Linked DNA regions of Saccharomyces cerevisiae S288C. The main gene of each other region encodes a partner of the protein of the gene in region 2 in a complex. Each region holds a gene or a part of one and is shown on either strand. Other genes may lie near its edges. A codon is read from its position in the direction of its gene.

The links.
Region 1: the proteins of CDC7 (region 2) and DBF4 are in contact, whole or in part, in a cryo-EM structure (PDB 7PT6), measured with the Saccharomyces cerevisiae proteins. Residues at the interface, in NP_010267.3 of Saccharomyces cerevisiae: Glu32 (codon at 2,993), Thr43 (codon at 2,960), Phe44 (codon at 2,957), Lys56 (codon at 2,921), Val80 (codon at 2,849), Thr81 (codon at 2,846), Ser82 (codon at 2,843), Ser83 (codon at 2,840), Pro84 (codon at 2,837), Arg86 (codon at 2,831), Ile87 (codon at 2,828), Tyr88 (codon at 2,825), Leu91 (codon at 2,816), Asn92 (codon at 2,813), Tyr95 (codon at 2,804), Leu106 (codon at 2,771), Asp108 (codon at 2,765), Ala109 (codon at 2,762), Lys110 (codon at 2,759), Arg111 (codon at 2,756), Arg113 (codon at 2,750), Asp114 (codon at 2,747), Thr130 (codon at 2,699), Phe131 (codon at 2,696), Tyr132 (codon at 2,693), Arg133 (codon at 2,690), Asp134 (codon at 2,687), Leu135 (codon at 2,684), Pro136 (codon at 2,681), Lys138 (codon at 2,675); in NP_010337.3 of Saccharomyces cerevisiae: Asn240 (codon at 3,784), Tyr244 (codon at 3,772), Arg249 (codon at 3,757), Pro251 (codon at 3,751), Arg255 (codon at 3,739), Asp256 (codon at 3,736), Asp257 (codon at 3,733), Ile258 (codon at 3,730), His259 (codon at 3,727), Tyr260 (codon at 3,724), Phe261 (codon at 3,721), Pro264 (codon at 3,712), His265 (codon at 3,709), Val266 (codon at 3,706), Tyr267 (codon at 3,703), Leu268 (codon at 3,700), Tyr269 (codon at 3,697), Asp270 (codon at 3,694), Leu271 (codon at 3,691), Trp272 (codon at 3,688), Gln273 (codon at 3,685), Thr274 (codon at 3,682), Trp275 (codon at 3,679), Ala276 (codon at 3,676), Pro277 (codon at 3,673), Ile278 (codon at 3,670), Ile279 (codon at 3,667), Thr280 (codon at 3,664), Leu281 (codon at 3,661), Trp283 (codon at 3,655).

The regions. Positions count from the first base shown.
Region 1 is NC_001136.10:556,125-562,466, forward strand, and holds DBF4 (protein serine/threonine kinase activating protein DBF4), read right to left. Parts: upstream 4,502-6,342; coding exon 2,387-4,501; downstream 1-2,386. Other genes in the region: triose-phosphate isomerase TPI1, read right to left, coding at 1-348; acid phosphatase DET1, read right to left, coding at 932-1,936; SCF E2 ubiquitin-protein ligase catalytic subunit CDC34, read right to left, coding at 5,316-6,203. UniProt on the Saccharomyces cerevisiae protein: Regulatory subunit of the CDC7-DBF4 kinase, also called DBF4-dependent kinase (DDK), which is involved in cell cycle regulation of premitotic and premeiotic chromosome replication and in chromosome segregation.
Region 2 is NC_001136.10:422,565-427,294, reverse strand, and holds CDC7 (serine/threonine protein kinase CDC7), read right to left. Parts: upstream 3,087-4,730; coding exon 1,563-3,086; downstream 1-1,562. Other genes in the region: trans-2-enoyl-CoA reductase (NADPH) TSC13, read left to right, coding at 361-1,293; ERP3 (Erp3p), read left to right, coding at 3,785-4,462. UniProt on the Saccharomyces cerevisiae protein: Serine/threonine-protein kinase. Needed for the initiation of DNA synthesis during mitosis as well as for synaptonemal complex formation and commitment to recombination during meiosis. Required for HTA1-HTB1 locus transcription repression.

The DNA.
Region 1 (6,342 bases), 140 kb from region 2:
AGCGAACTTGGTCTTGTCAGCAATGAACTTGTCATCTTCGTGGAAGTAAGATCTTCTTTCGGAGTGACCCAAAATAACCCACTTAGCACCAACATCCTTGATTTGGTCAACGGAGTTTTCACCGGTGAAAGCACCAGAAGCCTTCAAGTAGGCGTTTTGAGCACCGACAGTGACTTGTGGCTTCTTAACCAAAGAGACAGAGTAGTCTAAGTAGGTAGCTGGAGGACAGATAACAACTTCGACATTTTCTGGGATAGAAGCAGTGTTCAATCTTTCAACAATTTCCTTAATGGATTGTTTGGAACCGTTTAATTTAAAGTTACCACCGACAAAGAAAGTTCTAGCCATTTTTAGTTTATGTATGTGTTTTTTGTAGTTATAGATTTAAGCAAGAAAAGAATACAAACAAAAAATTGAAAAAGATTGATTTAGAATTAAAAAGAAAAATATTTACGTAAGAAGGGAAAATAGTAAATGTTGCAAGTTCACTAAACTCCTAAATTATGCTGCCCTTTATATTCCCTGTTACAGCAGCCGAGCCAAAGGTATATAGGCTCCTTTGCATTAGCATGCGTAACAAACCACCTGTCAGTTTCAACCGAGGTGGTATCCGAGAGAATTGTGTGATTGCTTTAATTAATTTCGGAGAATCTCACATGCCACTGAAGATTAAAAACTGGATGCCAGAAAAGGGGTGTCCAGGTGTAACATCAATAGAGGAAGCTGAAAAGTCTTAGAACGGGTAATCTTCCACCAACCTGATGGGTTCCTAGATATAATCTCGAAGGGAATAAGTAGGGTGATACCGCAGAAGTGTCTGAATGTATTAAGGTCCTCACAGTTTAAATCCCGCTCACACTAACGTAGGATTATTATAACTCAAAAAAATGGCATTATTCTAAGTAAGTTAAATATCCGTAATCTTTAAACACTATGTAGTTAGGTCTCCCTCACAATCAGTCCATTTGGGTAGCACGGTCCTCAGGACGTATCTATTGATGGATTCGTCCAGTTCCATCACCATTACGCTCCCGTTAGGAACATTGGTAAACGATTCAAACTCTTCGTATGTCCATCTAAACCATTTCATCAGGAATACTCTGGAATAAATACCATGTGTAACTAGGACAACAACATCTCTGGGTCTTCTCTCTTGCCTATCATGGAAGTGCCTGAATAAAGTCTCTTGGAAACTGGCGACTCTGTCATATACATCTGCCGCACTTTCTCCATGAGGGAATCTGAAGAAGAAATGACCATACGTAGATCTCTTCTTCATAACGTCCTGCATGCTATTGATTTTTTGGAAATTACCAAAATCTTGTTCCCTTATTCTTGGCTCATCCTTAACCCGATATTGCAGATAACATTTTCCAGGCTTCCCTTCACAAATATTATCTTCATTATTTTCGTAAACACCACCAGTATTATTAAGTCCTCTCGGCCAAAATGCATGTTTCTGTTTACCATGTGGATCATATCTCATATCTTCACATATACGAACACCACTGTTTAATTCATTATATTCATCGATGACGTCCAAAATACCTTTCAATGTTTCCCTTGCTCTTCTATAGGGTGATGTATAAAAAACTATGTTTGTGTCTTTTTCTCTACTCAGCCTGGTATAGTCCTTCAGCGGTAAAGTTCTCCTGCTACTTTCATCTTTAATATACTTCTTAGCCAAATCCTCCACCAAGTTGTGATCGTCTACGTTTAAAACACGTAATAAGTCAATACCAGCTTGTCTAGCTTGGATTTGACCTGTTTTCGTTAAAGAAATCAGATGGTTAGGAATATAACCATTGACCTCCTTGTTTTTATTTGATTCGCTTTCCCCATGCCTTATTAGTACAATTAACCTAGGTCTGGCATTCGTAAAAGAACCGTGACTGCCAGCAACATCTTCACTAACATGAACATTCTCTTCACACATTTCTTTTACTAATACTCTGAGTTATTCAAATGGAATGCTGTAGCGTAAGTTCTTTTATGTTGAACCATGAATACGAGCTGCAATTAATGCAGTTGAGAACTAGCTTTTTTTTTTTCATGCCTCTCGGTCTCTGCAGGATATCGGGTAAAAATGAAAACTGGGACATTAACCGCGGTGGGTACTCGATCATTATTTGTTCAGAATGAGTTATGATATGAACGGTAATTAATCTAGATGATAATATATATATGTATATGTATATATATGCAATTGATAATATATGGACGAGTAAATAAGAGTTAAGTCAATAGCAAGAAAGTAACAAGGGTGAATGAGAAAGTGATTCAATAACATTGCCGTTGATAGCTTTTTTGTTCCGAGCAGCAATGGAAACGGAACAATACTATTTTGATTTTATCACTAAAAGCTACTGCACTTTACGTCGTGTCCCTATATTTGAAATCTGAGATTTTCAATTAACGAGTCAATAGCCTCAAAATTTAAATCGTTTTCAGCGAAAGACAAATGCTTCTCAGAAACTATGTGTTGTTCTAAAGATTCGTATTTTACACGACAATTTTCACAGTATCCGGAATTTTTTACCGTTTCTTTCTTCACCGGCTGTGCTGTCTGTGCTGTCTGTGCGTTAAAATGTAAGGTGACGTTTGTGGAAGTTGATTTCTTCGATGCTGTTGGAGATTCTGTGGTTGTTATCTTGATGTCATTATGAACTTTGGAGTCTGCGGAGACTGATTTGGTAGCTACCTTAGGGAAATTCTGGGGCTTTCTATTAGTTTCTAAGTGTACAGCACTATCTTTGCCCGTCTCTTTCGAAGGGGCTTCGTCTTTTTTCAAAGCATTAAAATCTAATCTGTGTCTATTTTCCTTTGATGTTTCAGCAGTAGTTGCTATAGTGGCTGTATAATTTTTGTTATTTCCATTTGTCTGCTTTACTCCCAGCTTTCTATCAACCATTAGTCTACTTAATGACTTCATGTTCTTACTCATGACGCTTGCTCTTGTTGGGCCCAAACCATTGCCAAAAGAGGTTGCCACATCATTAGATTGATGTGCACCACTTGCTTTGATTTCAAATGCCTGACGTGACTTTGTTTTCAAAGTGCACAAATCATCCGGCACTTCTTCAGTTTCTTGCCTTGCAAAAGTAGCTAATACTGGATGGTTTAGTTTTGGTGTGGCAGCCAGCTCTTTTCGCTGTGGGTACTTATTCGATTCTTCTGCTATAGATTGTTTATTTTCTTTTTCTTCTTTCAACGGAGGCTCTTTGGTTTCAGTTTCATTTAATAATATACTATTTTTTTCATCGGTTTGGTCAGCATGTTCATTACGAACATCTTGAACTGCGCTATCATCCGTCTTCTTTAACTCGGTCTTCTCAAAATTTTTTGCCTTTTCTTGCATCCATTTTTTGAAGCTCTTGGTAGAATCGTTGCATGTGTGAGGTATGAATATTAGGTTTTTCGTTTGATCATTAACTGATGACGTATTCAGTAAGGTGTCGGCATGATATTGAAATAGAGCACGAAGTTGCAGTGCATATTTTTTGTTTGCTTTGTCTCTCGAGTATCTCTTTACTACGCGCTTATAAGAACTTTCGTCATAATTCCTATCCCCTATAAAAGGGCATCTTCCGAATGAACCTATTTTCAATATTGGGTAAGGTAGTTCGTCTAAGTTTGTTAGTTCTTGAGGTTTCCATTCCAAAGTTATTATGGGGGCCCAAGTTTGCCATAGGTCATAAAGGTATACATGAGGATATTTAAAGTAGTGAATATCGTCTCTTTTAGTTCTGGGGTCTCTATCCGTTGGTCCATATAATTTTTCATTGTGTAGAAGATTGGACAATGTGGGCGCAGCTAAAGAAGCAGATTTAGTCTTGCTCAAATGATCCAAATCAACATCAAGATTTTTCAGAAATCTGGCAGCCTTTTCGTAACTCCAAACTTTCATGTAGTTTTTTTTAGCTCTCGATAAAATGTCGGTATCTTTTAGTAAATATATGTTCTCAACAGACCTTCTTGTGATAACTATTGTGACAGTAGTGTCAAAAAATTGAGTTATTTGCGCACCCAATGTAAGAAACCCTCTTTTCAATAAATCTCTGCGTTTGTCCATCTTGGACTTATTATATGTATTCATCTCTACATCATCAGTAATGTCAAAGTAAATGCGAGAATCTCTTTTCATTATCTTTTTCCAATTTGTTTGCCATTCCAGCAATTCCTTAGGCGTAACCCTTGGCTCGACATTTTTCAGACCCGTACCTTTGCTGACTTGGACAGCGCCTTCAATAGACCTGGCCCTTTCTATTCTGGCCCTTTTCTTTTCATGCAAATGCTGCTGCTGTTGGAGCTCGAGGCGCTCAAGAGATCTTTTCTTCGGAAAGGATTCAGTGGTATTGTTATTGTTGCAATTATTGTCGTTAGAAAACACATTCAAGTGGCCCGCTGCTGTTGTTGATGCGGCAATTCCATTATTATGTTTCAAGTTGGTATCTGTTTCCTTTAACGGAGACCTTATTATCATTTTCGTTGGAGAAACCATTTTCTTCTTTCTTTTCTAAATATGAACCAAAAGCAGAATTCCAAATGCCTTTCAGATTCAAACCTTGAATTCTGAAGATAACTAGCCCTGCAAGCGAATTCAGATCTAAAGGAATCTACACCTGGCTGAGTATAGACTATGCAACTTGATTTTTGTTTTTCTTGGCCTGAGCCATTACCGTTATTATTATCGTTATTTCTTTATTTTTTTCTTTTTCGCAAAGATCGACCTAAGACGCGTTTGCAAAAAAAAAACCATTTACTTACTGCGGGTAAAATATTAAAAGAAACTTAGGCGTTAGCCAAGAACCGATAAGAAAATAAAAATAAAAAAGGTAATGAGGAATTAGATGCAAAGAGATATAGATATAAACACACACACACAAATATATATTTATATACATATGTATGGTGATATATATTCAAAAAAAAAAAGTACAGTAACTTAGAAACTATTAGTGGGACGGATTTGGTTTTCTTATTTCTTTCTTTTTAAAAAACTTTCTTAATATACACGTTTGTGGTTATAAGGTGGTGTAAAGTAATGTAATGATATACACTTTTTTTCTCAATTCTTTACCTTCTTCTTTCGTACGGTGTACTGCGAGAAGTAAAATGGGATGATGAATTAATTTTTCTAAATTTTTCTTCGACACTTAGTTATTTTCTTCTTCCCCTGTCAATCTCAGATTATCATAGGGAAAAATGTAAAGTGCTTTATCGACAACGTATCGCGTATGTATAAATTGATTCATGTTTTGCGTTTGAGCTGAATATGTTTTGTTAAATTTTGTCTTCTTTCTTACTGTTCTTTTTTATATTTTCTTTGAAACTCTTTCTACATCCTCCACATCTTCACTTTCATCTTCAGCCTTGTGGGGTTGTTTCCTATCCATGACGCTGTCGTTATCTATACTATCGTCGTCATCATCGTCATCATCTTCGAATTCGATTCTTTCGTCATCGTCGTCGTTGTCGTTATAGTTGTAAACGTCATCATCTTCAAAGGGGATATGGTTGTTTCCATCGTCGTAGTCGTCGTCTTGTAAAATGACGGACCCGTTCTCATCGTCGTCCAAATCACTATCATACCAAAAATTATCCGCCATATCCTTATTCGATTCTGGTTCATCTAGTTTACTTTGAGATATGTACGCCGATTCAGAAGTGGGCATTATGAAACCTTTAGGGATATCTTGTTTCGATCTTTCCACTTCCATTTTGACTCTTTGCTTGTATTGTTCAGGGTTCTTTCTGTAATCAACAGCGGCATCGACATTTGCTGGCGAGTTGATATTGGGGTCCTCTAATAGAGATACTATAGAGATCAACACACTTTCCACGGTCTGCACGGGGGACCACGTTTCAGCATCAGGTTCGTCGGTCATAGGATCCCCACTTTGATGTAAAATAGAAATACAAAGCCTGCCATCCCTGTAAACGTTTGGATGGTAGATAGCCGGCGTAAATCGAAACTGTGGTGGAGAAAAGGGAAAGTCTTCCGGAAATCTCATTTGAGCTTTGAAAAACCCTCCATGATAAATGGAATCCTCATTTAGCACCATAACACCTATGTTCCAAGTGAAAATATTTGAATCATCCTCTAGTTCTATATGAAATGAGGGAATAGCTTTCTTAGGATCAGTAAGTTCTCTATATTGCCGTAACAGTAAGCTAGAAGCGGTGCTTTTGCGACTACTCATATTTACGTTGTATTGTTCTTTTTTCCTTGTTTGGTGTACTAAAAAATAACAGTCGCTATAAGTCCTAAACAGTAAAGGACAAAGATGTCAGCGGCAGAGAGTATAAAGGAGTACTATTCGACTGAAATAACAAACGCAA
Region 2 (4,730 bases):
GATGAATGATATCTAATTGTTTCTCGAAGAATAACTTATATAACAGTAGTATACCGATGTAAGGAAAACTTCTTGGCTATGTAAAACTTTTTGAAAGTTAGAGGAAGAAAGTATTATACATTCAAGAGAGATGAGCTTTCCAATTTGAAAAATTTTTCAAGAAAAAGAAAAAATTTGAAAAAAAAAAAAGAAAAATATAATAAACATATCATTTTGTACGCAAAAAGTTAAGGAATTATGAAAAGGGACTAAGAGCGTGAATTTTACAGAACGGAGGACAGTAAGATTATATTCTATTTAGCTATCTAGAAACCAATTGAGCTATTTGAGAGAGATACATATTTTGAATTTAATTTGAAAATGCCTATCACCATAAAAAGCCGCTCTAAAGGGTTAAGGGACACTGAAATTGACTTATCCAAAAAGCCTACTTTAGATGATGTTTTGAAAAAAATCTCTGCTAATAACCACAATATCAGCAAGTACAGGATAAGATTAACCTACAAAAAGGAATCTAAACAAGTTCCGGTTATTTCAGAATCGTTTTTTCAAGAAGAGGCTGATGACTCAATGGAATTCTTCATCAAAGATTTGGGTCCCCAAATTTCATGGAGATTAGTCTTCTTTTGTGAGTATTTGGGTCCAGTCTTGGTTCACTCCCTTTTTTATTATCTATCTACCATTCCCACAGTTGTTGATAGATGGCACAGTGCTAGCTCCGACTATAATCCATTTTTAAACAGGGTTGCATATTTTTTAATTTTAGGACATTATGGAAAGAGATTATTTGAAACCTTATTTGTTCACCAATTCTCTTTAGCTACTATGCCAATTTTCAACCTGTTCAAAAATTGTTTCCATTACTGGGTTCTAAGCGGTCTCATTTCATTCGGTTACTTTGGCTACGGCTTCCCCTTTGGGAATGCTAAGTTATTCAAATACTATTCATATTTGAAATTGGATGACTTGAGTACATTAATTGGTCTTTTCGTGCTTTCAGAACTATGGAACTTTTATTGCCACATTAAATTGCGCCTATGGGGTGACTATCAAAAGAAGCATGGTAACGCTAAGATCCGTGTCCCATTGAATCAAGGTATTTTCAATCTTTTTGTTGCTCCCAACTATACTTTTGAAGTTTGGTCTTGGATTTGGTTTACTTTTGTGTTCAAGTTCAATTTATTTGCCGTTTTATTTTTGACTGTTTCAACAGCTCAAATGTACGCATGGGCTCAAAAGAAAAACAAAAAGTATCATACCAGAAGAGCATTCTTGATTCCATTTGTATTTTGATCCTCCTGTTTGCAACATGCCCAAATGCAAGGTAAAGAGATATTAGCTTTCACGAAGTGGCGTAGTAGCACTATTGTTTAAGTATCGTCTGCACCTGTGCCTTTTGGTATTTGGCACTATCTTAAGCGCATGCCACCAATTATGCTAAACCGTTTCACTTTAAGAAATTTTTATTTAAATCTTTCACTATGCAAATATGTAAGTACTTTTAAAATTCTCTTTCCAAAGAAAAGGAAATTATTTCAGACTAGCAGTAATTTATCACTTTGCTATTCAGATATTAGGAGAACATCCTTATCGAGCAAATCTGCCTCGCTTGAGCTGACAACGTCATCTTCGTCAGTACTCTCGCCATCCAGTAAATATGTGTTTTCATTCAATTCATTGAAAAACGGGGTTTTCAGTAAATCTTCTGCTGAACTACGCTTTTGAGGATCCATTTCGAAGCATTGTTCCAAAACCTGGAAGCACCAATAATGATCGGACCAAATTTCTTCTTGATACTTTTTCAACTCATAGGCATCAACAGCATCCATATTTGTCTTGGGGTCAGGTAATTGAGGTTCAATGGACATCCTGTCATGTAATTCTTGTTGTAGAAATCCGAATGTTTCAAAAGCAACACTGTACTCAGGGAACGTACCTATGGTACATTCTTTATTAAGCAAATCATAAACAAATTCCTTCAATCCATTAGAATATCCGTTTGGTTTATCCCAAATGAGCCCACTAGCTTCGAAACCCAATCCATGCAACGCTGCGCATTTTCTTAATTCTTTCCAACCAAAAATAGTACATAACTCTAGCAAAGAATCCGCATCATCTAAACTTTGGAACATTGGAAATCTTCTGCCCAAAAGACTTAAAAGAATAACACCTACGGACCATATATCAATCTTTGTGCTTTGAGCCCCACACTTCATTAACACTTCTGGTGCCCGAAATCCACGAGTCCCTGCTCTATTAGCCCTTTTAATTCTACGCGTTTCATTTTTAGGATAACCCTTTGTCAGATCCACCCCATTTACATTGTTTAAGTGGACGACCTTGCCATTTTGTATGGTGACCATAGGAGGTGTTTGGTTATGTGAGTTAGGAGAATATTGATTACGCATAATGCATGGACAAAATTGTTCGTGATTCCTCATTGAATATCCACCATCATGGTTTGTATTTGCATAATTGTCGTAATCGTTTTGACTAGATATCATGCTTTTATAATCCATTTGAGCCTCGGCTAGACCAAAATCAACAAGCACTCCACGCCCCAATTCCAAATTAAATAAAAAATTTGTCGGTTTGATGTCTCTATGAATAATTCCCTTCGAATGAACAAACTTCAATGCTCTTAGTAGCTCCCAAATGTACTTCTTGATTCCCTTGATTGGTAGATCCCTGTAGAAAGTTCGGAACTCCTCGTGGGGATAGTACGGTAAAACAGCAATGACTTGATCTCGCACCCTTTTTGCATCACATAGAGGGGCTACTCTCGAAGATCCCGTCATTATGTACAGCAGGTTGAGCTCATTATAAATTCTTTGCGGTGACGAGGTAACGTATATTTTCTTCAAAGCAACATAGTTCGAACCATAATTCCAAAAATGTGATGCAAATTTTTTTGTTATTTTCCCAGTGATATCTTTGGCTTTATACACTGACGAAAATGTTCCCTCACCGATCTTGTCTATGAGTTTATATTCATTTTCTATACCCGGTAGATCATGATAGAGCTGTATCATCTCTTCTTTGATTTCTGGAGGTATATCATCGATATTCTTCGTTTTGCTTGTCATTATGATTGTTCTACTTCGAAACTGCCTCTTTCCTAAGAAAATTAGATAATAGCACAATTGTTATTGAAAATTTAAGGTAGTCTGTTACTTCCCGTTACGCCTGCTGAGCGGTTTTTTTTGTTAATGGTTCTTGCATTGATTTTAGGCGGAAATGTGAAGTGCTCTTCTACTCACTAAATTGATGCCGTTCAAGAAGACGCCCCAGGGCAAAGAAGACATAATTTAAAAGCTGACCGGGGACAAATGTTTAAGATTTATGTAGGCCTAAGGCGTTTATCGAGCTAAACGGGAAGTAATTTTACTCTATAAAATGTCATCTACACAAGCATTGCCCCATTAGATTCTTAATTATCTTCAAAACCAGGGCTACACCTTAATTTCCCAAGCTAAAAACATGCTTATATAGAGGTTTAAAAAAAAAGCGTCGTTCGTTGATAAAGTTTACGAACGTATCAGTATGATCGCGTAGGTTTCCACATACTACTTAGACTTCCTACACTGTCATGGTCATTATGTCAACAAAGGTGAGACCAACGCGTCCTGACCTGAATTTTTCTCTCTTTAAAACAGAACGCGTTCTTCATAATCCTCTCCTCAATGAAAGAATTTGGGGGGACAATATCTTGACAGAAACTGGTAAGGCTCTTGATAGTTACCGTACTTGAAGGGACACTGTGAACTGACTAAAAAACTCCGTCATGTCCAATTTATGTGTACTTTTCTTCCAGTTTTTTTTTTTAGCACAATTTTTTGCTGAGGCATCACCGTTGACATTTGAACTGAATAAAGGTCGAAAGGAGTGCTTATATACGCTAACTCCGGAAATTGACTGTACAATCTCATATTATTTTGCAGTACAGCAAGGAGAGAGCAATGACTTTGATGTTAACTACGAAATATTTGCTCCTGATGACAAAAACAAGCCAATAATCGAGAGATCTGGTGAACGTCAAGGTGAATGGTCATTTATAGGCCAACATAAGGGAGAATATGCTATCTGCTTTTATGGTGGTAAAGCACACGACAAGATTGTTGATCTGGACTTCAAGTACAATTGTGAACGCCAAGATGATATTCGAAATGAAAGACGCAAGGCGAGAAAGGCGCAGAGAAACCTGAGAGACTCTAAAACCGATCCCTTGCAAGACAGTGTGGAAAATTCTATAGACACCATAGAAAGGCAGCTCCACGTTTTGGAACGTAATATACAGTACTATAAAAGCAGAAACACCAGAAATCATCACACCGTTTGTTCAACAGAGCATAGAATTGTAATGTTTTCTATTTACGGCATATTATTAATCATCGGAATGAGCTGCGCTCAAATTGCCATACTGGAGTTCATTTTCAGAGAATCGAGAAAGCATAATGTGTAAATAGTTGTGTATTGTTCCTGCATTTTCTATCAACTTGAGAATATATGTTCTTCATATTTAATAGGGGAAAGGAATGACATACCGTATCCAAAATAGCCCTTTTGCTCATGTTAAATCTTATGTAATGACAGAGCTGAAGTGACGTTTCTATTAAAGCACATGTCACGATTTAAAAAATCCTATTTCAAAATGTAGCATTGTTTTCTTCGAGAAATTGACAAAATAATCTTTGTAAGAGTAATTTTTTCTTAGCCATTGGCATATGCAC